Linked DNA regions of Notamacropus eugenii. The protein of the gene in region 1 purifies or fractionates together with the protein of each later gene. This does not show direct contact. Links are inferred from orthologs where the notes say so. Each region holds a gene or a part of one and is shown on either strand. Other genes may lie near its edges.

Region 1 (9,366 bases):
TCCTCCTCCTCTTCAGCAGTGGCATCCTGGTACTGTTGGTACTCAGAAACGAGATCATTCATGTTGCTCTCAGCCTCGGTGAACTCCATCTCGTCCATCCCTTCCCCTGTGTACCAGTGGAGGAAAGCCTTCCGGCGGAACATGGCAGTGAACTGCTCTGAGATGCGTTTGAAGAGCTCCTGGATGGCAGTGCTGTTGCCAATGAAAGTGACAGCCATCTTGAGCCCACGGGGTGGGATATCACAGACAGCGGTCTTGACATTGTTGGGGATCCACTCAACGAAGTAGCTACTATTTTTGTTTTGCACATTGAGCATTTGTTCGTCCACCTCCTTCATGGACATCCGACCACGGAAAACAGCAGCAACGGTGAGATATCGCCCATGGCGAGGGTCGCACGCTGCCATCATGTTCTTGGCATCAAAGACTTGCTGGGTGAGCTCAGGCACAGTTAGGGCACGGTACTGCTGGCTTCCACGACTGGTGAGGGGGGCAAAGCCAGGCATGAAGAAGTGGAGTCGAGGGAAGGGGACCATGTTTACAGCCAACTTGCGGAGATCAGCATTGAGCTGGCCAGGAAAGCGAAGGCAGGTGGTGACACCACTCATGGTAGCAGAGACTAGATGGTTAAGGTCACCATAGGTTGGTGTGGTCAGCTTGAGGGTTCGGAAGCAGATATCATAGAGTGCTTCATTATCAATGCAGTAGGTTTCATCTGTGTTTTCTACTAACTGGTGGACAGAGAGTGTGGCATTGTAGGGCTCAACTACGGTATCTGAGACTTTGGGTGATGGAACCACACTAAAGGTATTCATGATTCGGTCAGGGTACTCTTCTCGGATCTTGCTGATGAGTAGGGTGCCCATCCCTGAGCCTGTGCCTCCACCAAGTGAGTGGGTCAGCTGGAAGCCTTGCAGGCAATCGCAGCTCTCTGCCTCCTTTCGTACCACATCCAAGACTGAATCCACTAGCTCTGCCCCCTCGGTATAGTGGCCTTTGGCCCAATTGTTGCCTGCCCCGGATTGGCCTGGAATTGGGGGTGGGAAGCAGGGTAGATGAGGAAGGGATGCTGTGATATCCCACACTACCACCAACCCTTTCCCCTATCACCTAAGATTTTTTATCCACCTATACCTTAGAACAGAGGTGTCAGACATGCCCAGATTAAAATATAATTGAGAAATATTTAAATAAAAATTGAAATATAGTAACACAGATAACATTAATGTGTGCTTTTCTAACCAAATATGCAGCCAGCAAGGATCCTTAATTTAGTGGTCCCTCTTTCTAAGTTTGACATTACTGCCTTAGAGATCCTCTTAGCTAATGTTCAACCCCTCAATCATTCCCCTTATTTTGCCTCCATCCAGGTCACCCCTACTTTTCTAGAACTCTTCTGGCCACAACCTACATTGAACCTGTATCCCAGTTTTGAAGTTTCTAATTCCTTTCCCCCATCATTCTGCACTGATAAGATCCCCCTAAAGACTCCTCAATTATCTGAAAACACCAGTATGTTAATTTGCTTCTGTTTTAAATTTACTTCCACAAGATCCTAACCTATCCAGGGGATTCAAACCCCTTCTTAATGAAGAACCTTCAAATTCAAGAGTGATGATTATTTGGGAATTTACCTGGGGTAACTGCCAGTAATGAAATATTCTCTTCCCCACCCACTTTCCCAGTGGCAAAGCTACCACCTCTCTACCCTTTTTCATTACATTATTTAAGAAATTCACTTCAACTCACCAAAAACAAAGTTGTCTGGCCTGAATATCTGGCCAAAAGGTCCAGAACGAACAGAGTCCATGGTTCCAGGCTCAAGATCAACCAGTATGGCCCGGGGAACATATTTGCCACCTGTAGGAGAAAGTGCAGAGTAGGTGTAGGCTGGAGAAAGAAAGGGAGGGCTCCGGGGGTCCCTTAATACGTGGCCCTCCCGCTTCCATTCTAGTTTTTACCACCAGGTGGCAGTCGAGAACTAGTCTGCGATTACCCGTGGAAGAAAGGGGGGTGTGTGCGTAAAGGCGAAGAGGAAGATGACCAGAGCCTCTGGAAAGTGGAGAAAGAGTCTCCCAAGGGTAAATGGTTCCCCCCTATTTCAGAAGGCAGAATCGAGGGGAGAGTTCCCTTCCTGCCCCTCACCGGTGGCCTCATTGTAGTAGACAGAGATCCGGTCCAACTGCAGGTCGCTGTCCCCATGGTAGGTGCCAGTGGGATCGATGCCATGTTCATCACTTATCACCTCCCAGAACTAGGCAGACAGACGAGTAAAAAGTTGAGAAGAAAAATCGATTAAAAATTCTCCTCCCCCACTTTCATGATAGGCTCTCAATTCCAAAACTGCTCAATCCAGGAGTCATTTTTTTCCCCTAAAAAACCCAGGGGATTTCCTCCCCCTCCCTTCCTGGAACAGATGGGATGCACAGGAAGCTTGTTACAGGATTATCCTGCCCTATAAATGCACGAGATAATAGGACTGAAGGAGGCCGACTCATTCCAGGTAATCCAGGAGGACGGTTGAGGCCAGATGCCTGGGTCTCTGGCTAGGAAAGATAAAGGTCACTGTCGCCCTCCCCTTCTTCCCCCATCAGGCAACGCCCCTCCGATGCGCACAAAGAAAAAGGCACTGCAGCTGCTACCCACCCATCCCGCAGAACTCACTATAGAGCGAGGCTGTGGGAGGTGCGAGAAAGGAAAGGGGGAAAATGATGGACAATGGGAGCCAAGGGTGGGGCTCCTTTCCTCTATCCAGCATGGCCCTGGAGCGCAAGGGAGTTCTTGCCCCGCCCCAACCGGGCTCCGCCCTTTTGCCACAACGTTGCAAACTCTCCTTCCCACTTCCTTTCAACCCCCATCCGTTACACAGTATCTTCGAACTGGGGGGCAGGGAGAAGGATCACTTTTACCCTAAAATGTTGTTTCTTTGCTACAGTTTCCATTTTTTTTCTCATTATGTATTGGATTCGCTTTCCTTGTCACCCATTTTTTAACTCTTTGTCCTTGTGGAACTATCCACAAGGAACACTAGACAACGCGCGGGAACTCGCACCCTACCCCACCCCACCCCCGCTCCCGCCCTTAAAGGGAGGGCTTTCAGAAAGGGAAGGGGGAAAAGTCCCCTCACCCTTCCACCTCACAAAGGAGAACGAGAGAAATTAGGAAAATTCCACGTTTCATATATTTTTTGGGGGGGAGGGTGGACTACGAGTCCCCCCCAAACCCCACCTTCCTATTTCATCCCCTTTTTCTCCAGCTCAGTGCACAATGCAGCTCCTCACCTTTCCCTTAGGATTCGGGCAAGAGTCACAGTTTTGGGCGGGGAGAGACAGAGAGAGGCAGAGATGCACATGGGACAGCACTGGCCTCGCTTTGTCTCGCGCGTTTCCGTTCATCCATCTCCGACACAAAAGTCTCTTAGAGATCCCTTTTACACCTTCCCTCAACCCCAGCCCCAAAACCACAAGGGGAAAGAGACACACCTTCCAGTTAATCCATTAAAATCTTAAATAATTTTATTGGTCCCTTCTTAACGGATAGAAAGGACCAGGTTGCGACACGCCAACAAAACTAAACCAGGTAAGAGAATAAGGGGAGAAAAGCTACAGATTTCTCTAATGAAAATTCCCGCCGCAAAGAAATGCTTAGATTATTTATTTGTTGGGTCGTGCTGCTTTGGGCAGGGAGCGGGAGCTAGCGACAGTCCCGCCACTACTTTTTTTTTTTAGGAAATCTTTTAAATTTTCTTTCCTTTAAAAAAAAAAATCAATGGAGGTGAAAAGAATATGTAAAATCAAAATCCTTACCTTTGCACCGATCTGATTGCCACACTGGCCAGCCTGGATATGTACGATTTCCCTCATGGTTGGAATTTACTTTTGCTTTGTCTCAAGTTATGTGCAGGGAGGAGAGAATGATATATAAATATATATATTTTCTCCTTTCCGCTGAACAAGCTCTTTTTCAATAGAAGGTTCCCCGGAAGGTTGGAGCTGCTAGTTCAGAACACAGCTACACAAGCGTTCTGAGAGGGAGAAAGAAGGAAGGGGGGAGGGGAAGCGAGGGAGGAGAAGCAGGGCGGGTCGCGCTTGCGCTGCGTGGCCTGAGGGGAGGGAACCATGAAGAGGTAGGCGCCAGCTATATCGTGGACAAAGCCTGTCTAAAGAAGAACTGATTGGTCCATACCAGGCAAGTGTCTGGTACCCATTGGCCGCTCCTCCGGGGATCAAGCGCTATCTTCACCGGGAAATGTAGTTCTCTATTGTTGTCCACGCTGCAAAATGAAGAAGGGAGGAGTGGGGTGGGTGTGGGATATTTTTTTTATGAATAAAAAAAAAATTAGGCATGGCATTCCACTGTTTTGAGGTCTTTTTTTTTTTTTCAATTAGACATTAGAGGAGACTAGGATTTAGGTCTGTAGTAAGTGGAAAGTCTAGGGAAGCGAGGTAGTGATGTGATTTCAGGATTGGTATGTCCTGGGACTTCCTGCTGCAGCATTCCTACCACTGGCCTGCTAAATTCAAAGAAATGTAGGGAGAACCAAGTATGAGCTTGGGATAGACAGTTACAGGACTCACTGATCTTTCCAGGACTCAGGTGTCTAGCCTCTGATACCCCGAAGTTCCAGTTCTTTCTTGCGATCTTCAACCCCATCCTTATTTGCCTCACTGATCTACATCACCCACACATCTCAGCAATCCACCTCTTTTTCCTCTCAGGGGATAGTCACAATGGATGGAGTAGTGGTTTTTGCTCAGTGGGTGATTTCCTTGGGCGTTTTTGGATAAGGGTATTTTAAATACCCAAAGAGAAAATTACGCTAGAGACATTTCAGGACACAGATGCATCTGTCAAAAAAAAAAATGACTGGAAGGGACATGTATAATGAATTTGTGAAAGAAAACCTGACTCTTGGGAAGTCAGATACCTGGGTCCCTGAGGTGTATTCCTATGAATAGAACTGCGGTAATTGATCCAGGGAAGTCTAAGCTGAGATAAGGAGAGAAAATGGCTGAGGGGTTCAATAACTCATACATTTTCATGGCACTTTTATCTTGCCTCCCCAAATGTAGGACCCTTAAAAAGTATCAATGAATTTATAGGAGGTAGCTGTTTCCACACCCCATTCAAATCAATGTCCCTAGTATGGTGGATGTCATAGCAACATGGTCACCATGGTAACCCTTCCTAGGCACCTGAGCTGGAGATGAGGACCATTAGAAGGAAGAAAGATTGGGCTTGGGGACAGAGGGAGAAGAAATGAGTTTAGTTCAAATTCAGACATTTCTCATAGGGTCACTTTTCCATGGAACATAGAGGCATGGAGAGATATAATACTGTTTTAGAGTGATGTTATAAAATAACTAGGATTTATAAAATACTACAGGGTTTTCATAGCAATATATGTATAATATATACATATATGTCATCCCATTTGATTCTCACAGCAACCTTGTGTGGTAGGTGCTATATTTATTCTCATTTTACAGATAGTAGAAGTTAAAATGACTTAGGGTTCAAATTCAGATCTTCCTACCTCTGAGTCCAGCACTCTATCCGTTATCCATAGTCCTAGTAGGAGAAAGTTATATCATGTTATCAGTGGTGAGATTTGTCCAAGGAGCAAGTGATGTAATCATTTCCTTATTGAAAATTAGGTGAACTGGGACTTCTGGTTACATATAGGACTGCTTCATATAATATTCTATATAATATATACATACATATATAATATATTATTACATATGATGTATAATACTATATATAGTATTCACATAATATTTTATTTTTGAATAATAACACAAAGAACAGTAAGTCATATATATACATATGTGTGTATGCATGTATTTACATATACATATATTATTTTGAAGGTAGGTATTTCAGGTTTTATGCCCATTTAGAGAACTGGGATTGGACCTGTGGTTTCTTTTGTACAGTGAATTTCTTCCACTAGTAAAAATCTATACTTCTCTGCAACTTGTAGTTTTAAGAGAATTACCTAGGGCACTGAGAAGTTGTCAGGCCTGCACAACCAGCCCTGGGAGCTAACGACCCTCAGACTGATTATAGCATGCCAAAGGATTTGGGGGAAAGGGGGGGGGGGAACCTACAAAAAAATGTACAGGAAAACATCCTTTGTATGTAGAAGAAATCCTTGCCACAAGTTGTTCAGGCCTGAGTTAAGTGGCTTTATAATAGTCTGTAAGATCTGCATTCCCTATTCTATTTTAAAAGATGTTTTATTATGTTTTGTTTTTTTACACTTTATCACTTCCCAATAATCCTTCTTAGTATAATATTCCATTACATTTGTATGCCACAATTTGTTCAGCAACTCTCCAGTCAATAAATTACTTTTAAAATTACAAGCATTTTTTTCTGTTGTTTCTATTCCCACTGAATAGGGAATATTCTGAAAAAAGAAAAAAATATTCTGAAAAAAAGAAAAAAAATCCTTGTAACAAATATGAATAGTAAAATAAATTCCTACATTGGCAATGTTTTAATATGTATGTCTTATTCTGCATATTTGGTCCATTCCGAGTAACATTCTTCACCAACAGTCTTTTAGAATCATAATTGGTCATTGTGTTGGTCAGAATTCTTATGTATTTCCAATGTGTTTATTTTTACACTGTTGTTATGGTACAAATTGTTCTTCTTGTTCATTTAAGATCAGCTGATAAAAGTCTCCAGAACTGTCCATTTTATCATTTCTTACAGCAGAATAGTATTCCATTATATTTGCATACCAAAATTAGTTTAGCCATTCCCCTAGTAGATAGTTCCCCCTTACTTTCCAATTTTTTGTTACCTCAGAAAGATCTGTTACAAATGTTTTTCCCATTAACCCATTTTCATATGGGTTCTTTCCCTCTCTCTTCATAGTAAGTTGTATGGCTGGGTCAAATCATGTGCACAATTTAGTAACTTTTGGGGGGCATACTTCCAAATTGCTTTTCAGAGTGGCTGGACCAATTAAAAAACTCCACAAACAATGCATATATCTGTTTTCCCTGAGCTCCTACAACATTTACCGTTTTCCTTTTTTGTCACCTTTGATGATCTGATGATTTGGAACATTTTTAAAATATGGCTATTGATAACTTGTATTTTTTCCTGTGAGACTTCCTTGTTCATATCCTTTGTCATTTGGGGAATGACTAATTCTTCCAATCAATTTCTTATATATCCAGAAAATGAGACAATTATTAGAGAAACTTACTGCAAAACTTAACTATCTCTCTGTTAAGCTTAGCTACATTGATTGTGTTTGTGCAAAACTTTTAATTTTACATAGTCAAAATTGTCCATTTTATCTTATGTAATCCTTTGGTCACAGACTTTTCCCCTATCCAGATAAGAAAGGTAATTTCTTCCTTTCTCCTTCATTTTATTTATGTGACCTTTTAAATCTAAGTCATATAACCATTCGGATCTTATCTTGGTAAATAATGTGAGGTGTTGGTCTAAATCAGACTACTTTCCAGTTTTACTAGCAGTTTTTGTCAAACAGTGAATCTCTTCCTCAATAGTTGGGGTCATTTGACGTAATCACCCTGGTGAAGTCCTTCCTCACTTCAGATCTAGACTATTTCTATAGCCTGCTGGTTGGTCTCCCTGCCTTTCCCCACTCCACTCCATCCTTCATTCAGCAGTCAAATTGATATTCCTAAAGGGCAGATTTGACCATTTCATCTCCCTATTCAATAAACTCCACTGGCTCCCTAATACCCAAGATCAGATATAAAATCTGTTTGGCTTTTAAAGCCCTTTGTAATTTGGTTTTTTCTACCTTTCTTGTTTTCTCACGCCTTATTCCTCTACACATACTTGGCAGTCCTGTGACATTGGCCTCCTTGCTGTTGTTCCGAGACAATCCATCTCCTGACTCTAGGCATTTTCATTGCCTGTTTCCCAAGCCTAGAATGCTCTCCCTCCTTACAGCCACCTCATAGTTTCCGTAGCTTCTTTCAAATTTCAGTTAAAATCCCACCTTCTGCAATAACTCTTTCCCAAACCTCCATTCTCTTTGTGCCTTCCCTTTAAGGTTATGCCCAATTTATCATATATATATATATATATATCATTATATATTATTATATTATAGTATAGTATACATTATAGTATATATTTAATAATATATTATATTATATATTATAATATATTATATATATATCATGTTTATACACAATTATTTGCATGTTATTTCCTTCCCCCCCCCACCATTAATATGTGAGCTTCTTGAGAGCAGGGCCCAGTTTTGTTTGTCTGTGGACTTTTTTGGATCCCTAGGGCTTAGCACAATTCCTGACATATAATAGACACATAATTAACAAATACTAGTTGATGGGAAAAAAAAAACTTTATAGCAAGTTTCTTTGATAAAGGCCTCACTTCTCAAATATGTAATGAACTAAATCAAATTTATATATTAAAAAAGAGCTATTCCCTAACTGATATGGTCAAAGAATATGAACAGGCAGTTTTCAGAAGAAGAAATCAAAGCTATCAATAGTCACATTAAAAATTCTCTAAAGCCTTATTGATTAGAGAAATGCATATTAAAACAACTCTGAGATACCACCTCATACCTGTCAGATTGGCTAACATGACAAAAAGAAAAATGACAAATGCTAAAGGGGATGTGGAAAAAAATGGGACTATTGATGATACTGTTGATGAACAATAATGAATTGTTGATGGTATTGAAAACTAGTCCAACCATTCTGGAAAACAATTTGGAACTACATCCAAAGTTCTATAAAAGTGTGTGTACCCTTTGACCCACCAATACCACTACTAGATCTATATTGGAAAGACATGAAAGGGAAAGGGACCTGTTTGTATATAAATATTTGTAGGAGCTCTTTTTGTGGTGGCAAAGGTAACCGAAAATTACCACACCAGTAAGTTGTGGTATATGATTGTAATGGACTAATATTGTGCAATGAGAAATCTTGAAGGGGATGGTTTCACAAAAACGTGGAAGACTTATATGAACTGATACAAAATGAAGTGAGCAGAACTAGGAGAGCATAATACACAGTAACAGTAATATTGTAAGGATGAGCAATTGTGAAAGACAGCTATTCTGATCAAGACAATGAGCCAAGACAATTCCAAAGGACCCAGATGAAAAAATGCTATCCATCTCCAGAGAGAGAGAACTAATTACCTCTGAATGCATATTGAAGCATCCTTTAAAAAAAAAGACTTTATTTTTAATGTTTTGCTTTCTTTTGTAACATGGCTATTATGGAAATATCAAATTGCTTGCCTTCTAAAGAATGGGGGAGGGGTGGGAGGAAGGGAAGGAATTTAGAAGTCAAAATTTTTTTAAATGACTGTTAAAAAAATTTT
Region 2 (10,523 bases), on another chromosome or scaffold:
CAATATTTGAATGAACTGCAAAACAAAAAAATCCCTTTCTCCTCTAAGTACTATTCACTTATTACTTTTCACATGCATCTTTAGTGTACACAAATTACTTTTTTCCTATCATATTCAAGGGGTGTATTACAGATACCCATATATGACAGCACACCTAGTGGAAGGGCAACTAGGTAGTGAAGTGGATAGAGTGCTGGGCCTGGAGTCAGGGAGACATCTTCCTGAGTTCAAATCCAGCTTCAGATATTTGCTAGATACTGGGCAGGTAACTTAACCCTGTTTGCCTCAGTTTCTTCATCTGTAAAATGAGCTGGAGAAGGAAATGTCACACCATTCTGCTATTCTTGCCAAGAAAAACCAAAATGAGGTCACAAAGAGTTGGAAACAACAGAACAATTAACACATAGTGAAAAGAAAGAACTTAGAATCAGAAAAAGCTGAGTTCAAATCTACCTCAGACCCTTACTAGCCGTGCGACCATAGTAAAGTAACTTATCCTTTCTAAGTCTGTTTCCTCACCTGTAAAATGGGGATGATAATAACTATAGTTAGCACTTATCCTACGGGATTCAAATGAAATGTGTGTAAATCACTTTACAAACTTTAAAGAACAATAGACCTATCAGCTTATTTTCATATCTAACTGGTTTTGAAAAAAATCTCATATTAATAACGTAATTTCTTCATGTTAGGTATATAATAATTCAGATTCTTCCCCTTCTCTCTTTTAGTTTTGTTTACATAATTCTCATTTTATGTAACAGAGCTAAGATTTATACATATCATATTAACCAAAGCCTCTATTTTACAGAAATAAATGATTTCACGTAAAATACATAAATAACTGAAATTACAGCAAAATTACTAGAGCATTTAAAATGCTGGCACCCCAACCTGATTTTACACAAGACAATCCATTTCACATACATCTGATTCATCCACCCAGACTGCCCTACTATTCTGTTGACTTAGAAAAGGATTCAGGGTCACTACTAAAATGTAATTCCTAACTTTCTTCAGATTGGGTCCACAAATCCTCTTTGCCCAATGAAACAATTACAGTTCTACCCCAGTAATTTTCTGACTTACAGTTTAAAAAATATTTTCACTACGAAAGTGCCAATAAATCTTACAGACCTATTCAAGCAAAACTCCTCTGTAATATAGAATGTTATATTCTCACATCTTATACACTGCTTTTTAAAAATTATTTTCCATTTATTCCCATGTTTAGATTTTGTTATAACTGGACTATATAAAGTTCTCTAGGAGACAAAAACTATCTACTACTTACTTTGAATTATCCCTAAAACAGAATAACTGTGCAAACCACAGGATGCTGACTGCTTCACTACCCATTTTGGCTCTTTGGCCCATCTTTCCATTTCCCACATCCTTCCCTTTTACCTCCTCTCCCCACTTTTCAGCTTTTCCTTATACTTTGTCTTCCTCCCATTAGAATATAAGCTCCTTGAGGACAGGGGATAACTTTCTTTTCATTTATTATATTTGCATTTCCAGCTCTTAGCATGTCCTGGCATATATTAAGCACTTAATAAATGTTTGCTAAGTTGACACAACAACAGGCATTTAATAAATGCTTGCTGGAAAAAACATATGTGAAGTTTAAAAACCAAGGTCTGCTACATAAGAAGGCAAATCTCAGTAAACCAAGCTTACCTGAAATCAAATTTGAACATTCAATTATCAGGTCACCAGTAGTTTAGCCATACACCAAAGATTTGTTCATCAACTATACATACACGATCTCAGTTAACCCACTATGATAAATTACTAAGCCAATTTAAAAGCACGAATTCCATTTGGAGTTAGCCTAATTATCTCTTTTAAAAAAACTGCTCAGATATAAATCAAATCACTAATCAACTACATGCATAAAAGACTAGCATGCTAAGTTTCAGTTTTCTGGGAACTAGATTTATTTTGGTAGAGAAGCTCTGAAGATGGAAGTGACAAACAACACTTTTTTGATTATGTATTTTCCCAGTTATTGCAACTCAAAACATCATATACTTTCCTTACATTCAGAAGACAAAAAGTTTTATAGCAATTATAATGTCCAAGATTTTACTAAAGAGTATCATTTTTCCACTTAGGCGGTGAATTAACTGCTGCTTCTAACACTTAAAAGACTAAATCGTTTTACTTCAAAAATTGTTTTATTTGAAAATAATCCAAATCCTTAGACTCAAAGAATAAACCATTACCTATAAGATAGTTCTATTGTATCTGGACAGCTACATAAGAGCTCAACCTTCCTATCATTCACAACTAACAAGATTTGAAAGAATACTAAAAATACTGAAAACTGTTACACTTACTAGCCTGTGAAGTCAGAAGTAGCCTCAATGGGCAACCTGTAATAACTGAACTCTACGGAATCTACTTTAGATTTTTCTCAATTCTGAAATTGGGACTAAACGAGTGTCTTGAGAGAGTTACGCAGAATTTAAAGTTCAAAGGTTTTTTCCGGCTTCTCGACAGTAAACAAAGCAGACCTCACTGGAGGAGAAGTCTACGTGAAACTGGTGCTACCCTGAGAAGATCGCCTCCCCGATCGCCCGACGCTAGGCAGCGGGGACGCATTCCGACACAGCCGCCGATGGAAGGAATGTCGGGCAAGGGGAGGTCTTTTCAAAATAGAGCTGAGGTTTCTCAGCAGTTCAGACGGCGTAAACAAACCTTCCAGGCTGCAGCCGACGGTAAACAATGAACCTGCAGCGGGTGAGGGGGCGGGCTCTGCCAGCCACCCTCCCGGCGGCTGGACCAGACACCTCGCAGGCAGCAGCCGCACACAAACCTATCGATCCCTCGTTTCCCCCGAGGTGGTGAATAAAGAGCGATCCTGCGTGCTGCGGGGGGTGGGGAGGGGGAAGACGGCAGGATGTGGTCGATCTTCCCCGAGACATCCTCTCGCAACCTAAATAACAGCTTCTTCCCCCCCCTCCCCAGGCCGCCCCCAGGATTGAGGGGCGCAGAGCTGCGGGACAAAGTACATCCTTTCCCCCTTCCGAGTGCCCTGGAGCTGGTCTCCCCCGCTCGCTGCCGCCCACCCGGGGCAGGGGCAGGCGGGGAAGCCGGGACGAGGGAGAGAAGGGGGATGGTTCCCGCAGGGCAGTCCCAGGGCCCGCGGTTCGGACCCAGCACCTCGCCCCTCCCCCCCCCCCCCCCCCCGGGCCCAAGCCCAGGGGCCGCGCGGGCCCGCCCCAGCCGCCGCCCGCCGCTAGTTACCTCGGGTGAGATCCAGCGGGACGTTCTCCTCGCCGCTGTCATTCCGCCCTGCGCGAAACACAGAGAGACCCAGTTAGGACTCGCAGGCCGGCGGCGGCCCCGGCCACAGCCGGAGCCCCGGGCGCAGGCCCCACGCCCGCCCCGCGAGCCCGGGGGGTGGGAGGGGGGGAGGCGGCCCCGAGAGGGGGGGCGCCCGGAGCGGAGGGGAGAGGGCTAGCGGAGGGGTTACCTCGTATCCTGAGGTGCTTCAGCGAGCGGCCGCGGACACTCGCCGCCATGTTGACGGGCTTCAGTCACAACACCGGAAACCTCGCCCAATCGCGCGAGAGCCCCCTTCCCCTCTCCCCCGCCCTCCGCTTCCTTTCCTCCTCCCCTCCCCGCCCTGCGCTCGCCTGGCCTAGCCTCCGCATCCTCGCTCCTCCCCCTCTTCCCTTTCTTATCGCGAGCCAGGCCGGGGCGGGGGCGGGGCGCGGGGCCCAGAGCGGGAAGCCCGGGGCTGGCGGGCGCGCGTGCCTGCGGCGGAGGCGGCGAGGCTGGCCTTAGCAAGACGCCCCCCAGCCCCCTCCCCTGCAGACGAGCGCGTGGCCGCGGGGTGCCCCGCGAGGACCCCTCCCCCACCTCCGCTCCGAGTTCCGAAGGGGAATTCCCCCGGGAGGCTCGCGGGGTGGGCCCCGGCCGGCCGCTTCGTGGCGCGGGGCGAGGCCGCCCACCCGTGCCCGCGTGTTGTGCCTAAGCTGCCCCGTGCTTTGTATTTGTCCGCGAAGAATTTCCTCGCTTCCTTCACGCCACGCCCACCCTCCTGTAAAACACTCTCCTCCCCCCCCCCCTCGTTTTTTCCACTAACTTGAGATTCTGCCGAAGAAAATTGGCTTCATGGGGGGCGGGGGGGGCCTAGCGGAAAGCGGGGTTCACCTGCCGAGCTGGAGCCCCTCGTGTAGTGAGCGCAGTGAGACGTTGGGACGTGCGTGACCCTCGAGGGCAACCCCGCGTGGCACTGCGGAGGACCGGCGAAGACGAGGACTCCATTAGGTAACCTTCGTGCCCACGATGCCCTCCGCGGCTTGTTCGTCCCCTCTAAGTGGTGGACACGTAATTCGTGTTGTTTGCCCGGATCCCGTAACTTGGAGGCTTGTTGGCTAGATGTCATGCCGGGAAGAAGACTTTTAGCTGAGAATGTCAGGAATATAAAGCTTGTCCAGACTTTTTATGCAGCCGTGGAGAATTGGGAGAAAGAACTGCAGTTTTAGGTTGTTTTTTTTTTTTTTTAATTCTCTGGTCTTAATATTATTTCCCTTGAGATGAGCCTAATGTTGGCGATACCATAATGGCCAGCGTCCAAGGGGATGTAAGACTTAATATGGTGTATCGGAAAGGTGGACATCCAAAAACATCCCCTGCTTACAATGCTGTATCAGTTCCAGGATTTGCATAATAAGTATTTAATTTAATTAGTAGTAAGTATTCCTAGAACTCTACCTGCTGCAGTAGCAGAGGGAGGTAGAGGAGGGAGCTGGAAAGTCTGCCCATACTTCCCCTCCTCAGTCCTCGCAACTCTACTGAAATTAGATTGTGGTTACTTTGTATATATTTTCTGTTTACTCATGTATTAGGAGAATTGTACAATGAAGGCCTAGTCTTTAGAACGTAGGCTCTGCCTCTATGGAAGCTTAGTGAGCCGAAATCAATCGCTGAGCAGTTTAAAGTACCAGCTATGTGCCAGGCATGGTGCTAAGCCGGGGAGATACAAAGAAAGGCCCAAGACAGTTCCTTACTCTTGAGGTGCTCGCAGTATTATGGGGGAAGACAACATGCAAACAACCTCCCAAGTCATCTCTCTCTCCTCTCTCTCTCTCTCTCTCTCTCTCTCTCTCTCTCTCTCTCTCTCTCTCTCTCTCTCTCTCTCTGTGGATTTGTGTATGTATATATACAGAAATCAATTGGAAATAATTGGAATATAAATCATAAAATAATTGGATAATCAACAGAGATAAGTCACTGGAATTAAGAAGGATTGTGAAAGGCTTCCTGGGATTTTAACTGCGACTTGAAGGAAGGCAGGAGGCAGAGGTGAGGAGAGAGGGAATGCATAATAAAGGAACCTTTTTTCTCTCTGCTCACATCTGTACCCCATCTCCCCCATCCTCAAAAAACTGTCACTTGATGCATCCATCCTCACTAGCTATTATCCTGTGTCTCTCCTTTTTGTAGCTAAACTCCTTGAGTAGGCAAACTGTCTACTGCAGGTGACTCCCAGTCCTTTTTTCTTTTAACTCTTTGTAGTCTGGATTCTGACTTCACCATTCAAGTGAGAGTGCAGTTTTAGTTCATTCAACTGAAATTCCTGTCTCCAAAGTTACTAGTGATCTCTTAGTTGTCAAATGTAATGGCCTTTTTCTCAAACCTCATTCTTCTTGACCTCTCTGCAACCTTTGACACTGTCTCTCACCTTCCACTTAATGCTGTCTTCTTTCCAGGTTTTTGTGACACTGCTTTCTTCTGGTTCTCCTGCATATCTAAACCCTTTCTCTGCTTCCTTTGCTCCCTACCTGGAGCTCTCTCACTCCTCATTGCTGCCTTTTGGCGTTCCTAGTTCTTTCAAATCTGAGCTAAAGTCCCACCTTCTTAGAGGAGCTTTTCTCAATCCTTAATATTGAGTCTTTCCCTCTAAAAATTATCTCAATTTGTTTTGTATATCACTGGTTTGGACAGAGTTCTTAACACAATGTCTCATTGAAAGCAGGGACTATCTTTAACCTTTCTCTTTAACTTTACCCCCAGCACTTAGCCCAGTACCTTACACATAGTAGATACTTAATAAATGCTAGTTGAGTAATTGATTGGCTTTAGAGCAGTCCCTGATATTTTCTTTTTCCTGTCTTCTTATGCATGATGGTAAAAAGGCTTTAATTGGCTACTGAGCTGGAATTGAGAGTGCATATGAAAGCAAGGAACAGACCAGTTCTCACTCTCTTCCCAGGTGGCCACTGAGAAGCTGGAATTGCTGTGGGCTTCTGGTTAGGATAGCAGCCTCACTCCCTGATTTGGCTGTGAACACATGTTGCTGTTTCTTCTGTCTTAGCCATATTTCTTTTTTCCTAACTTTAGGTGACTGAATATCAAAGATAGAGTGGAAAAAGGTATGACCTTGTGAGCTTTTAAAATCAGAACCATCAAGTTGGTTACAGTCTTGCTGTTGGAGTACCTAATCTGTGAGGAGCCAACTCTGAAGAGGTACCAGCTTAACCCAATGAATTAATCAATCTGGCATGAGAGACACCACATCCTTCAAGCTAGGAAGCAAGTCATCCTTCTGCTACACCATACCTAGAAGTTGTTGTTGTTGTGTTTATAGTTTGTTCTTGAGGAGGACAGTGACATCAGGATGATGACATGACTTGTAGTTGACTTTGATTTGAGGGAGGGAGGGCTGTGCAAGGTCACCAACCTCACTTACTCACAACCTTACTTCTCCTGAGCCATCTGTGTCCAGTAAATTTGATGGAAGGAATATTTTGTAACAATCACTTTTAGGTTTAGAACTGGAGTAATAGTGAAGAGTGTACTCCCATTTTGGGTTGTGCTTAGGTCCTTGACCTATATTCTTTGAAAATATCCCTTGTAACACCAGTTAATGATAATGAGGGTGTTAATTAGCTACTGATATTGGATAAAACACACCAGATAGAGGTTCATAAGCAACAGTACTAGAGGAAGGCACTCAGCCCTCAGTGTTAGCTATGCAGCGGAGAAACTAATTGCCAAGGCCATGAGGGTTCAGAAACTGAGCCCAAAGACATAGGTTCATCTTTCATGTTCATCCTTGCCTTCTTTTTCCCCCTTCCCTCTTATTATAGAGTGTAAGTTTCTCAAGGACATGAACTGTAATTTTTTTTTTTTATTTTTGTTTCTCCAGTGTAAGTATAGGGCTTGGCAAGTAGTAAGAGGTTTAAATATATTATGCACACATATGTATATCCATACTGTGATGGGACAAGCATTTTTCTGAAGTAAATTCCTTTGACTCCAGTTTACCTGATGCAGCTTCCTTGCCTTCCACTCCCCTTCCCCTTATAGCCAACATAAGATAGAGCTAGGACCAAGCTAATTCTGGGGTCTAATATCTCTTCTCTTACCTCCCCTTCCATAATGCAGCTTTTTAAGGGCATAAAAACCCCTATCCTTACTGCATTTTCTTGCTATTTTAGGGCAAAGTAAACCTCTTGTTAAATGTCCAGTGACTTGTCCATGCTTCCTTTTATCAAACCTGGACTAAGAGTGGAGTGACTCATACATTTAATGTAGTTTTGGCAGATCAGGATTAGATGAAAAGGCTTCATGGCTCAAATAGTGTTTGAGTTGGGGGAAGAACCCTGAAATGTGGAGGAGGAGGGTCACGTGATCAGATGGCAGGACATTCCCTGACTCCCTCTTGACAGAGCTCTCCTGATTGTCTATGGAGAGTCCTCTCTGTGGGTAGAGGAATTAGATTATTGGATACTGGAGAAGGCTGCTGACAGGGTAAAGAAAATGTCAAGACCAGCACTCCCTGGATGTTGTTGACTGCTCTAAGTAAGTTGGATTGTGAGTGCAGTCAAATAGAGTAAAATGGCCTGGTACATTCAGCAGCAGCTAAAAACAGAACTCTCAGCTTTCAGGGACCATGCAATGAAAGTCAAGAGACAGCTAATACAACTAGTGACTGCACATGTGAAGAGATCTCTCTCAAGGGGTACTGAGGGTTTCCTGCAAAGAATCAACCCTATGATCTCTGATCTAAAGGTTCAGGTTCCTGCTGATTGGAGCCATGGGACTAGAGGAGAGCAGACTTGGGGCAGAGGCTGGGGCACTCCCACCCAGGGTAAGGAAGGTTCAGGCTTATCTTGTCACTACTCATAGGAGGGCAGGCAGGTAGTGCAGCTTATAGAGCACCAACCTTGGAGTCAGGTGGACCTGTATTCAAATTCTACCTCAGACACTTACTAGTTGTGTGATGACGCTGTTTGCCTCATTTTCTTCATTTGTAAAATTAGCTGGAGAAAAAAATGGCAAACCACTCCAGTAATTTTGCCAAGGAATACCCTAAATGGAATCACAAACATTTGGACACAACTGAAAGAATTTAACAACTCTTAGGAGGAGGATAGTGACTTCCTATCTTGAAGGCTCAGGAGATGGGTCCCTGTTCAGTGGGAGAGGGTTCAGTTGCTTTCTGGGGATTTTCAAACAGAAACTTGAGGAGTCCCTAGGTGTGTTCTAATGGAACCTACATCAAGAGCCTCTCTGCTGTGGACTTTCCATAGCCTCAGATAATTCTCTGAACTCTTATTTTAAAGCGTGAACTACATTTGCTTTTAAAAGAAATATATTGTTTCTTTTTAGATGGCTGATAAGATTATTCACACCTGGCCTTATAAAGATGGCAGCCAGCTCACAGTTGGGGATCTACAAGGGAGTTGGTGATATTCCTAAATGAAATGGATTTAATAAATTGGATTTATGCATTCCCCTAAGCCCAAGCGTTCTGTGTAGAGCTCTGCCCAAATAGTTTCTGACTTTAGCTAGGTTCTCCTCCACCACGCAACCATACAGGTGTGGGTTGATCAATTATTGAAATCTAAGCAGGAGCTCTGGATAGATGTGACTTGGGCAAATATTTTTGTCCATGCAAAAAGATACTCTAAGATTTGAGGGAGAAGTCTCAACCCAACACTGCCATGCTAGGTGGTCAGAGACCAATTCACCATTCTCAGGAGGGGCGTTTAGGTGTGGCTACTGAAACTTCAGGTTGATAAAGCAATTGATGACCAGGCCTTTGAGGCCCAGTAAATTTAAGTTCCAGGGCTCTAGAGGCCCTTTAGTCTTACCCAAGCCTGAGGTATTATCTAAGGCAGGGCTTCTTAAACTTTTTCCACTCACCACCCTTTTTTGCTGAGAAATTTTTGTGACCTGGGTATACAGATACATAAAATAGTTATACAAATCAAGCATTTACTGATCAGAAATCATAAAGAAATTTATTTTAAAACAATTCTTTGGTTTACATGTAATTTTACCATTTATTAAAGATGAAAGCAGATTTGCCTACTAAGGAGATGCATGTGCTTATTTAATTTTACATAAAAAATTAAATCTTAGTGGAGTATTTGATACTGAAGGACATGAAACATCTTCAGAATTTTTCAGAGTTGATTGATATTTTGATTTTATAATCATCAATTCTGAGCACACTGCTTTGCATAAATACATAGTACAAAATGGCAGAAGTATGGTTAGGGCCATTTCAGAAATTGTTGGAAAGTCTGTCCTACTCCCAAGCCAAAATTCATTTAAAGACTTTGTATGTACAGTAAAAACACTGTATTTCATAACATATAATAGTATCCAATATGAGTTAAGGTGTTTCTGATAGCATTCCTTGGCATTGCATGCACAATATAAAGTGCACATGTTGTGTGTCCAAAACCAAGGCTGTAGGGATGTTGCAAGATGCAACATGGGCAAGTGCTGCCAGAAACACCTTGGATTCATTATACGTTTGATTTTGAATTAATTTTTGGTCATTGCACATTCAGAAACCTTTTACTGTTGCCAAATTTTTTGTGACCTTCCACATTCAGTTATCCGACCCCGTATGGGACACCAACCCAAAGTTTAAAAATCATTTGGATCATTTAGGGAAAGCTACTGAGGACAGTCCATGGAAGAAAGGCTTATTATGACCTCAGTTTCTATGGGGATCCTTTCAATGACTTCTAGGCATGCGTTTTACTATGGATAAGGTCAAATGGAAACTCTTAAGAGTTGCTGGAATCATCCCACGTAGTTATGATATTTCTCCTTCAGTGATGAAGATGAAGAAGGCTGGAATACTTTTTTGTACTATATCCCTTTCCAACAACCCTGTGTTGCCTGTGAGTATGACAAATGGCACCTAGCAGCTTACAGTAGACTATAGGAAGATTAACAAAGTCATCATATATATCTCTAAAACTGTTCCTGTGTTGTAGACCAGGTTGCCCAGGCCTAAGGTGAATGCTATAGGACTTTTCCTGTGGCTGAGACTAGTCAGGAGCAGTTTGTTTTTCACCTGAGGAGTCCAGTGTGCCTTCACCATCTTTCCTCAAGACTTCCTGCACTCTCCTTCATACTGATACGTTAGAATGGGCATACATGTGAAAGAACCCTTCCTCCTGGAGAGCACTGGGGTATACCATGATATGGATGATATAATGTTTACCAGACCAGATGAGGCCACAGTGATGGAGGCCCAA
Region 3 (10,546 bases), about 67 Mb from region 1:
TAACAGAGTTTGACAAAAGCTGAAGTTACAACCCCAGGTATCTGTGTTTTTCTCTCTTCACCAGGATGCTAGAAGGGTCTGATAAGGGAGTCCCATTTGCTTGACATCAAAAGGCATCCTCTAAACAAAGGAGACTATTAGGTCCAGACTCTTCTTAATTCAAACTTTGGCCCTTATTAAAGTCTAAAATTTATATTAAACATTATCACTACCTACAAGTCTTGTTACTCATATTTTCATGTATAGAAATGAATCCTCAATAGCACCTGATCTCCTAAAGGAACTGGAATCAGAGTAGAAACTTTTGAGAAAGTAACAAGATCAGATACTACTGTATATCAAATATGGGGCATGTAAAAATCTAAATTTCTGAAGCTTCAAGCAAACTCTGGGTTTCTACTTTGATGTTCCCCCTTACAGCTTTATTGCTAAGATAAGAACTCTAAGGTTTGAGCTGGTTTTTACAATATGAACTGGTTATTGGAGAAGGAAAATTGGAGAGGCTGTACTACATTTGTGTTGAGATCTGTTTTGTAAAAGATTTTAGCAGGGACATCTAAAGGGTCTCTATAAGTAACTTGGAACCAGAAAAATAATACTGAAGAGATGCCCCTGAGGACAAGACATTTTCTAGATGGCCCCAAGAAAAGCTGCTCCAGAGAACTGACAACTCCATGGGATATCTGGATTCCAAGATGAAATCTGCTAATTAAATGGATGTTGGGGATGGTTTGATGATCATCATTGTACGTCTCCCCTTGACAGAAAGGGGGAAATTGAGAAAATCAAATTGTTCTTATCTCCTTTTGTAACTGACTCTATTCTGTCACCCCCAAAATGCTATAAAATTGCCCAAGCCATGTTTATTTGTCTCTGAACTTTGTTCAGAAACTCAGTTAGCCTGTACTACATTCAGTTTAGAAATTCAGCTCTCCCACTCATCCCCCAACGCCTTTGGTTCTTCCTTCACCTCGCCAGGTGAAATTGTTAACCACGGTGATCATCTTCTCATTGGTCATGCTGTTTTCCTATCTGTGCTTATGTTGTTTGTACGGCTTATTCTTACAAATGGGACCACCCTGGCTGTACCATAAAAGGCCATAAACACCCTAGTATAGAGCCAGCCCAGGGACCTTGTGGAAGATATTCAGAAAGAATGGGCAGCTTTTCAGACATGGATTGTGGAGTCCTGACTGGGGAAAAGCCATAAAATACATTAATAAATGAAAAGCCACAAAAAGGTGGAAAGCCCGAAAATGGCGACTGGTTTAAAATCATAATTTAGATACTGATTTGTAATTCAGACACTGAGTCACAACTTAAAATACTACGTCCTATGAAAGCCTTATGTAACAAGAATATCGTGACCCATACGTGACTGGTACATGATCAATACACAAACATTTATACTTGGGCATGACATTGGCTTAACTCCCAAGCTCGTTACTAAGCAAAAACCCAAAACCCATCAGTTGTGATGCTCTCTGTAGCTTCTCCTCCCTTTGTCTATTTTCTATAATTACCATGGGGACTTTGGGGGTTCTCTGGTGGGCATCGACTGAACTGCCTGGCTACCACCTTAGACTGAAGATTGCCCCTGTTTTATAAGTAGTCACAATGATAGATTGAACTACTGCCTATAATCAATCTGGAGCTTCTTGGCCTCTTCCTTTGATATCAAGAATACCCCATGGTTATGGGGAAGGTCCAGGGTTCCCCAGTCTGGGGAATTCTGAACCTTACATAGTTTGCTCCTTCACCCCTGTTGCACCCAATGACATGGCCCTTCTCCTGCAAAGGCAAACCCCTCTAAATGCACAGGATCCCATTCCATCCTCCAGAAGTTTGCCACCCCTATTAAGTCTCACTCTCTCACCCATCTTCAATTACTCTGTGTATGCCTCTTCCCTGTCGCCTACGAACATGCCTTGTCTCCCTCATCCTCAAAACATCTTCTCTCGATCCATCCATCTGTTCCAGTCAGATATTGTTCCAGATATTCCAGATCTCTCCTCCCTTTTGTGACTAAACTCATACAATAAGTGCCTCTTCTTCTATCTCTCATTTCTTAAGTCTCATGTCTGGCTTCTGACCTCATCCATAAATGGAAATCAATCAACATTTATTAAGCACCTACTAGGTACCAGACACTGTGCTATATGCTGGGCATACAGAAAGGGAAAAAAAGACAATCCCTGCCCTCCAGGAGCTCACAACAGGCAAATAAATTGATTTAAGTAAGCTACAGACAGGATAAAAAGGAAATCAGAAACAGAAGCAAGATATTGAAATTAAGAGGGGTTGGGAAAGGCTTCCGGTAAAAGATGGAGTTTCAGTTGCTGTCTCCAAAGTTAGCAGTCCTGCCTGACTGAGGGTGGTGCTGTATTCACTTTGCCACCCTCTAAAATACTATTGATTAGAGAAACATTAATTGAAACAACTGTGAGGTACGCACCTATCAGATTGATGAGTATGACAGAAAAGGAAAATAACAAATATTGGAGGGGATATGGAAACTTTGGGACATCCCCTCCGTTTCCAATTCTTTGCCACAACCAAAAGAACTAGTGTTGGGGGTGTAAGCTCAGTTCCATGTGGACAGTCTCGGGCAGGTAAAGGTGAGGACTTCCAAACCTTAGAGTTCTCATGAGGCCCCCCAGGGAACAGCTGGGAATTGAGGTGTGAAACCCGGGCTATCTCGTGCATTTCCGCCTCTTCCCCGTAGGAAACTTGCTGGAGAAGAGCATCCCCACCCTCGAGATTAATCCATGGTCTGAGCACACCTATTGTTGTCTAACAGGCACAGTACTCAGGTGCAAACTATGCGGCAGGAGAGCTTAAGTAGGGTCAGAAAAGCCTGAAGGTGCTCTTAGTGCTGAGGGGTCCTTAGAGGACAGAAGGTCCCTCTCCCCTCTTCCCTCTTCCCTCTTCCACTCCTGCTTCCATTCTCTTACTGTAAGATCTTTGCCTCCTTCGGAAGAGGATTCCTCTCTCCTCAGGAAGAATTCCCCCTGCACATGTAACCAAGACCCTGAATAAAGCCTAACCCTTGTTCGACTCTGGAAAGTCTCTTCTCTCATACGTTTATCCGGTTTGGCCAGCCGAAGACCTGCGATAGGTAAGGTAAGACTCGGGTAGCCCTTAGGCCTCTAGGCCTGGCAAACTAGTATAAATATTTTTGTACATAAAAGTCCTTTCCCCTTTTAAAAAATCTCTTTGGGATAAAGACCTAGTAATGCTATTGCTGGGTCAAAGGGTATGCCCATCAATTGGGGAATGGTTGAAGAAGTTACAGTATATGATTGTGATGGAATGCTAATATGCTATAAGAGATGATGAGGGGGATGGCTTGAGAGAAACCTTGAGAGAAACTTGAATTAACTGATGCAAAGTGAAGTAAGCAGAACTGGGACAATGTCATACGCAACAGCAGTGAATGACTGAGCTATTCTCAGCAAAACTGGTGATGAAAAATGCCATCTACCTTCAGAGAAAGAACTGATGCAATCTAAATGCAGATTGAACCACGGTATTTTTTTCGGCGTCTGTGTGTCTGTTTAGCCTTTTTTTTTTTACATGCCAAACATGAAAATGTTTTACATGACTGCACACATATAACCTTTATCAAATTACTTACAATTCTTGGGGAAGTGAGATGGGAAGGAGAGAATTTAGAACTCACAATTTTAAAAAAGAACGTTAAAAACTCTTTTCATACACAACTGGGGGAAAAAACCAAACTATTAGAAAAGAAAAAGAAGGTTCCAGTGGGTTCGGTCTGTATGCAGAGACTACCATCCATGTGAGGTCATGGTTAATTCAAGTTTTTCTGTCTAGCGGGCCAGAGACAAAGTGCCAGCAATCAGTTTAATTAGTTTCATCATGAGGAGCAGCTTTGCAAATTGGGAATTCCTCTGATCAGAATTTTGCCTTACTGAAGAGAGGACAGAGATTATATACATAAGTCACAAATGGGAAGGGAAGGACAGGGAAGGTGGATTACAAACAACCGTTCCCAGGGTCGGAGTGGTTTCCCATGACAAACCCACAAACAAAAGACAATACAACAATTCTGGAGTCCTGTGGAAGCAATACTGCTCAGGTCCTTGTGGGTCATTACTTAGTGGGTCACAGGACCAGAGTTCTGTGACAGGAACAGTTTCTACAGGTTTTGATAAGATGCACTTCAGGTTCGAAGGCAGGAGGCCAGTGATTGTGGACCTTGTCAAGGTCTGACTGATCAGTTCAAGCTGCGCTGTAAGTCTGGAAAAGGCAATTCTGCAAAATCTAATTTATTAGTACAATCGTTACACATATCCTATTGATTATTATAAAAATCAGAATTTCCTTCACTGAGAGAAAACTGGAGCTCCTCTGCATGATGCAAATCAGGATCTGAGCCCCCACAAGCCTGACACTCTTTAGTCAGACAATAAAACAGCCACAAAAATAGTCTCTTTGATGACTTTTAAAAAATCAGTGTAAATAAGGAAATCAAGCCCTTGAATCACCCTCCGTTGCTCCTCCTTCCTGCCAACGCACATCGAGTATACTGACCATTGTTAACCTGAAAACTGCGTTAAATAAAAGACATCGGGCTAGTAAGCACGCGTTATTATTTAATTCATCCTCTCTTAAAGATGAGGGTCATGGCGCTATGGAGCCAGGACCAGAACTGACCCAGCACAGAAACTGCCTGTCTTAAGTACATTTTGCCACGAGGAAGGCGCTCTCTTGGATGCACACGTCGTCCATCTGATAAGGGGATGGACAGAGCAGCTCCCGAGCCGTGGGCATGTTCTTTCTGCAGCGTGCCTCCGACATCAGAGGAGGAGAAAGTCCCACCGCCCTGCGGACAGACACCCTGACCTGGACAGGCCTTTGGAGCTGGCAGAGCCCAAGTTACAGCCCAAGAGATCTGGGTTTTTCCTTATCGCTAAGATGCCAGCAGGGTTTGGTAAGGGGGTCCCCAAAAGGTGTCCTCTAGGTTAAACAAAGGACCACTAGGTCCAGGCTCTTCTTAATCCAAACTATAACAATCTAAAGGTTATAACAAAGGGTTATCAAGCTCTGGCCTTTACTGCCCAAAACCCTCCCAGGCTCTAGACCAGACCCAAAGCAGGGGGGCTGGGGGAACCCTGCAGGAGAGTCTTCAAATGGATGCAGGGGCAGCTGCGCGGGGGGCGGGGCTGTCCCGCCCAGCACTGGTAGTGGGGGGCCCGGGGTGCAGAGGGCTACCCCCCTCTGTCTCTACACCTTCCTCCCTCCGCAGTCAGGGACCCCGGCCTCTCCTGGCTCTGGGCAGCCTCCCCGGCCGACCCCTGCCCCCCGACTTCCTGCTAGCCCCAGCTGAAACCCCACTTTCTACAGGGGACCCTCCCCAGCGCCTCCCTCCGTGAGCGCCTCCCCATCTACCCTGCCTCCAGCCTGCTTTGTAGGCACCAGCGGGCACGTGGTCTCCGCATCAGATGGTAAGCGCCTCCAGGGCAGGCACCTGCCGGGCCTTAGGTATGCCCGCTGCTTTAGTTCTCCGCAAACCGCGGGCACTAAATAAGGAGGGCTTGACCCGACACGGCCTTCTGGGAAATGGAGTCCAAAGACTCTCCCGGCGCCTCATGGGAAGTGAAGTCTTTGTTCATTTCCTTCTCCCAAGATCCAGGGGTAGAGGTGGGAGGGAAGCCCATCCGCCGGACCTCGAGGACTAGGCTGACCCCGCTCAGGGGAGGGCCTGCCCTTGAACCCAGCTCTGTGTCCAGCCCCCTTCCACAAGTAGAGGGGTGCGATGTGAATCGGGATGCACCTCTTCGCGGCGCCCTCCCGTCCCGGGCCGGCACACCAGGGGTTAAGCGGCGGGGGCGGGCCAGTTTGGGCCCAGCCGCCCCCGTAGCCCCGCCCCCGCCCAGCAGGGCGGTGCCTTCTCCTGCCGCCGGCTCCGGCGAGAAGGGGCGGGCTCAAACAAGGGCCGAGCCAATCGGGTTCCGGTGAGGCGCGCTCTAGCCAATGAGAGGGGGGAGCGGGGTCCCGGACTAGGAAGGCGCAGCGGCGGGGAGGGGAGGCTGGGACCATGGGGCTCCTGACCATCCTGAAGAAGATGAAGCAGAAGGAGCGGGAGTTGCGGCTCCTCATGCTGTATCCTCGAGCTCCCCGAACCCTTGGGTGGCCGGGGGCCAGGGAAAGGCGCGGGCGGGCGCTACCACGCGCTCCCCCGGGGTGGGGGGAGGGAGGACGCGCCGCTCTGGGCAGGATCGTACCAACTACCCTGCGCGGGTTACGTAAGCCGGGATCGACCAATAGCCCTAGGAGGCGGTGGGTTGGGAGTTGGTCCGTACCATCCGGGACAAAAACGGGGGAGTGCAGGCTGTAGGGACTGCCCCCACGCAGAGGGGGGTGCGGCTAGAAAAGTGGAATGGGCCAACTACCCCGGGGGCATGGAAGGGAGCTCGCGTGCACTGGCGGGGAGGCGGGAGATGGAGGGTCCGGGATTTGGGCTAGACCCTAGCAGACTGGATCTCGGGAGTCCCCGGAGCACAAGTCCAGCTCGTTGCCTCCTTGTGTGTCCCAGGCACACAGTAGGAGCCTCATGAATGCATGTTGCCTTCCCTCTCATAGGGAGCTTCACTTTGTGCTAGGCTAGTTCTTCGAGGGCAGGGCCCGAGCGGGTTTCTTACTGTTCATCTTGGTGCCCCTAGTGCCAGGCACACAGTAGGTGCGCACCTAGTTTGTGGAAGGATCGAGGTGACCTTGGGCAAGTCACTTCCCTCCCTTGGGAGGTCCTGCCTCCGAGGCTCCTTAACTGCCGCCCCAGCGGTCTGGACAACGCAGGCAAGACCACCATCCTAAAGAAGTTCAACGGGGAGGACATCGACACCATCTCGCCCACCCTGGGCTTCAACATCAAGACCCTGGAGCACCGAGGGTGAGGGACGCCCCTCCCCAGGAGCTGGGCGCACAGCGCGGGCCGGCCGCGCCCATCCACCCTCTCTCCCTTCCTCCTCAGGTTCAAGCTGAACATCTGGGACGTGGGAGGCCAGAAGTCCCTCCGCTCCTACTGGCGCAACTACTTTGAGAGCACAGACGGCCTCATCTGGGTGGTGGACAGTGCTGACCAGCAGCGCATGGAGGACTGCCGCCGGGAGCTGGAGAGCCTCCTCGTGGAAGAGGTGCGCCAGCCTGGGGGCTGTCAAGTGGGAGGAGTCTGAGGAGGAAGGCCCTGCCTTCTCACTTACCAGAAAGGGACACTGAGGCACAGGGAAGAAGGAGCTCCTGTCTTTGGATCTCCACCACATGACAGAATGCCTAGCTCATTGTAGGGGCTTAATAAATGCTTGCTTGGTTGAAAAAAAGATCACAGGTCCACATTAACTTGAATCAGCATACATTCGTTTCCTGCTGTTTACCAGATACTGCGCTAGGCAGCAGAGATTAGCAAAGATATGAGAAAGTCCTCAGAGAGGACTGGTCTAGTGGAGGGTAAGACAAGTGCAGAGGCAGAACAGGAAGTAAGCGTTGTAAGATGAGGTTATGGAGTGAGGAGGGCAGATGGCCAGAAATGGAAGAGAATGAATTGGGGGGGGGGGGGTGCAGGGAGTCACATGACAAAGCTGGAGAAGTAGGTGGGGACTGGGATGCCAGGCAGCCCAAGACTGGGCGAGATGCCCAGTCCAGCTCTTTGCTCAAAGACCAGGCAGCTGTTTCCTGTGGACTTTTCTTGTCATCGTATCTCACTGACAAGCGCCCACAACCCCATTCACGTCCCTTTCCCTAATGCTGCCCTGGGAGTGGTGCTCACAGTGGCTCATAGGCTGGCTAGCTCAGAGCTCCCAGGTTCCTTCCTGGCCCTACCACCACCTTTCTTTCCCTCTTAGCGCCTGGCTGGAGCCACTCTCCTGATCTTTGCCAACAAGCAGGACCTCCCTGGGGCTCTCTCATCTAATGACATTCGAGAGGTGAGTTGAGGCCTCCAGGTGGCTGGATGGGATGGAGGGTTGGGAGGGCTGCTGTCTGAGAGTCACTCTCCCTCCTTCAGATCCTGGAGTTAAATGCCATCCGCAGTCACCACTGGTGCATCCAGGGCTGCAGTGCAGTGACGGGGGAAAACCTGCTTTTGGGGGTTGACTGGCTCCTGGATGACATCTCCAGCCGAATCTTCACTTCAGAATGACCCCTCCCCTCCTTGCCCTGGGTCACCGGTTCCTGGACTGACCCCTCGACCCAGCTGAAGGGCAGCCCCTCCACACATCTCCAGCTCCCACAAACCATCCCTCTGTCCTGCTTCTCTCTGATCCAGGGCCCCCCAGGGAGCCAGGACTGGGGGGGGGAGGAACGGAAGCCCAAGGGACCCCAACTAATGCCTCCTCCCTGTCATAACCAGATGCTGCTTGTGCTATTTAACAGGAGAGACCCTGCTGCTCTGTTGGAGAGCCTTCCTCCCTGGGGAGGAGTGGCCCCCATTCCCTATTTCTGTCCCTCCTGCAGCTCTCTGTCTGTGGATTGGGGGAGACTCCGGGAGGGCCCCTTCCTCCGATCAGCTGTGGGAATAAAGTCCTCTGTGCCCCTCGCTCCTGGCTGCTCTTCTTCCTCCCAGGCTCCTCTGCTGTCAAGGGAGCTTCCACACTCCCTCCCCATGCTCCCAAAGAGAAGGGTGGCCCACTCTGCCAGCAGTTGAGGGAGGGCAGGAAAGGCCAAGTCCAGAAGGCAGCTCTAGAACTGTCTGGTGTGGATGAGGACCTGGAAGAAGCTGGGCCTGCCCCGCCACCCTCCAGGCCCCTGGCCTTGGCCCAGCTCGCAGTAAACCAGTGGCCTAAAGTGATCTGGTTCTCAGTGGCCCTTGAAGTGTTGGGGGAGTGGGCTTGGAGGGGGGTGAGGGCCTCAGCGGCCCCACCAGGGGACTCATCAGTGCCAGCCTGACGTCTTCCGCCGTCCGGGGCCTCAGTTTCCCCACGTGGGAGTGGGCTGGGTTTTCCCTGAAGTCTATCTCAGGGCCTGATATGCAGTAGGTGCTTAATGAATGCCTGTTGCCTGGAGTCCAGGGCACCGATGGCCTTCCCCAGGCGCCAGGGGGCGGCCTTTCCTACGGAGTAGCTCATTCTACGCCTTTCCAAAGAACAAAGAGTTTTAGGACCGTCCCTGCGTGCACCATGGAGGGGCATAGGAGTCAGGAAGAGAGGCCAAGGAGAGCCTTGCGCAGGCGCAGAAGAGGCGGTGCCCGTCGGAGGCTGGACGGGAGGGGAGGGGAGGGGACAGCGTGGAAGAGGAGGCCCGTGGCCAGGCCGAGGCGCCGGAGTCCTGCGGACTCCGGCTCCTCGAGGATGTCCCTCAAGGCTAAGGACGACTACCGGCGGCTGTACACAGTGTCGGACACGCGGACCCATCCCAAGGGCTACACGGAGTACAAAGTGACGGCGCAGGTGAGTGACCGCAAAGCCCCTTTAAGAGGAGGAGGAGAAGAAGAAGAAGAAGAAGAAGAAGCCCCTTTAAGTAGGCGGGGCCGGACCGTTCCATCCTCGAGAGTCAGGCAGGGGTGGAGCCCCTGAGCGAATTTAGGACTATACTAATTTACGGGGGAGGGAGGGAAGACTAATCTGGGTTCCTTTAACGGAGACGCAAGGGGCGGGGCCAGCATGGGCGGGGCCAGCATGGGCGGGGCCTAGCTGCAGAGTTGTTTGGCTGGGGTTACCTCCACCTTGCGCAAACAGGTTAATAAAGAGCTGGGAGCTGCTGCCTCCCTTCGCGAAATGACCCCCGTTGCGGCCCGGAACACACCGGGGGCGGCTGGGGAGGGCGGGGCGCGTTGGGGAAGCCTCAGCTTCCTCCTCTGTGAGGCGGGCACCCCCTCCCAGGGTGGCTGAGGCAGCCGAGGTCGCAGGCGGTGAAAGCACCCCCGGAGGTCCGAGCCCCGCTTAGCGTCCCCGGCGCTTAGTAGGACTTGAGCAGCGCCGCTTCCTGGCCGGCTTCTCCTCCGCTCACTAAGTCATTAATGGCGTCGGCTGGGGGGTTTTCTCCCCAAAACCTCCTGTGCTAGGGCCCCCGGGGCCCCACGCACCTGTCCCGCTCAGTGCCCTGGGGGCGATCGCCGAGCCCCACCCCCTCCCTGGGAGGCTGCTGCTCCCTTGCCCAAGAGGATCTGAGTCTGGGGGCCCTCCGCGACCTACACGTTTTCCCATTTGGGGGGGAGGAATGCTGTCATCCCCATTTGCAGTGGAGGTCAGATGATCTGCCCAGGGTCACCCAGTTGGCACCTCAGACTGGATTAGAATTCAGGTCTTCCTCCATCTAGGATCCACTCCCCTCCCCCACCAAATGGCCTCTTCTCCCCAGTTATTGTGGAGGCAAGGGTGGCCTTGTCCTCTGATGTGGGGGGGTCTTGGGGGGCTGAGCCTGGGGCAGGGCTGGGGGGCCAAGCGGGTTAGCCCCTCACTGGCCCTGGCTTTCTTCTTCCTCAGTTCATCTCCAAGACGAACCAAGAGGATGTCAAGGAGGTGACTGTTGGGGTGGGTGGGGGGCGGGTACCCTTGTCTCCTGCAGGCAGCCCAGGGTGGGGCGGGGG

Evidence for each region.
Region 2: the proteins of TUBB (region 1) and RICTOR purify together in Homo sapiens (affinity purification with mass spectrometry; 3 studies listed by BioGRID and IntAct, with this or other methods). This does not show direct contact. The link is inferred for Notamacropus eugenii from reciprocal best matches to the Homo sapiens genes TUBB and RICTOR.
Region 3: the proteins of TUBB (region 1) and ARL2 purify together in Homo sapiens (co-immunoprecipitation; 3 studies listed by BioGRID and IntAct, counting the BioPlex papers as one, with this or other methods). This does not show direct contact. The link is inferred for Notamacropus eugenii from reciprocal best matches to the Homo sapiens genes TUBB and ARL2.

The regions. Positions count from the first base shown.
Region 1 is NC_092873.1:84,574,794-84,584,159, reverse strand, and holds the start of TUBB (tubulin beta chain), read right to left. Parts: upstream 4,282-9,366; 5' UTR 3,864-4,281; coding exon 3,807-3,863; intron 2,255-3,806; coding exon 2,146-2,254; intron 1,861-2,145; coding exon 1,750-1,860; intron 1,028-1,749; coding exon 1-1,027. UniProt on the Homo sapiens protein: Tubulin is the major constituent of microtubules, a cylinder consisting of laterally associated linear protofilaments composed of alpha- and beta-tubulin heterodimers.
Region 2 is NC_092875.1:421,421,793-421,432,315, reverse strand, and holds the start of RICTOR (rapamycin-insensitive companion of mTOR), read right to left. Parts: upstream 3,823-10,523; 5' UTR 3,531-3,822; coding exon 3,482-3,530; intron 3,301-3,481; coding exon 3,253-3,300; intron 3,158-3,252; exon of another isoform or gene 1-3,157. UniProt on the Homo sapiens protein: Component of the mechanistic target of rapamycin complex 2 (mTORC2), which transduces signals from growth factors to pathways involved in proliferation, cytoskeletal organization, lipogenesis and anabolic output.
Region 3 is NC_092873.1:17,759,385-17,769,930, forward strand, and holds ARL2 (ADP-ribosylation factor-like protein 2), read left to right. Parts: upstream 1-6,033; 5' UTR 6,034-6,064; coding exon 6,065-6,129; intron 6,130-6,805; coding exon 6,806-6,916; intron 6,917-6,997; coding exon 6,998-7,160; intron 7,161-7,865; coding exon 7,866-7,946; intron 7,947-8,026; coding exon 8,027-8,161; 3' UTR 8,162-8,557; downstream 8,558-10,546. Other genes in the region: SNX15 (sorting nexin-15), read left to right, coding at 9,138-9,407, 10,443-10,478. UniProt on the Homo sapiens protein: Small GTP-binding protein which cycles between an inactive GDP-bound and an active GTP-bound form, and the rate of cycling is regulated by guanine nucleotide exchange factors (GEF) and GTPase-activating proteins (GAP).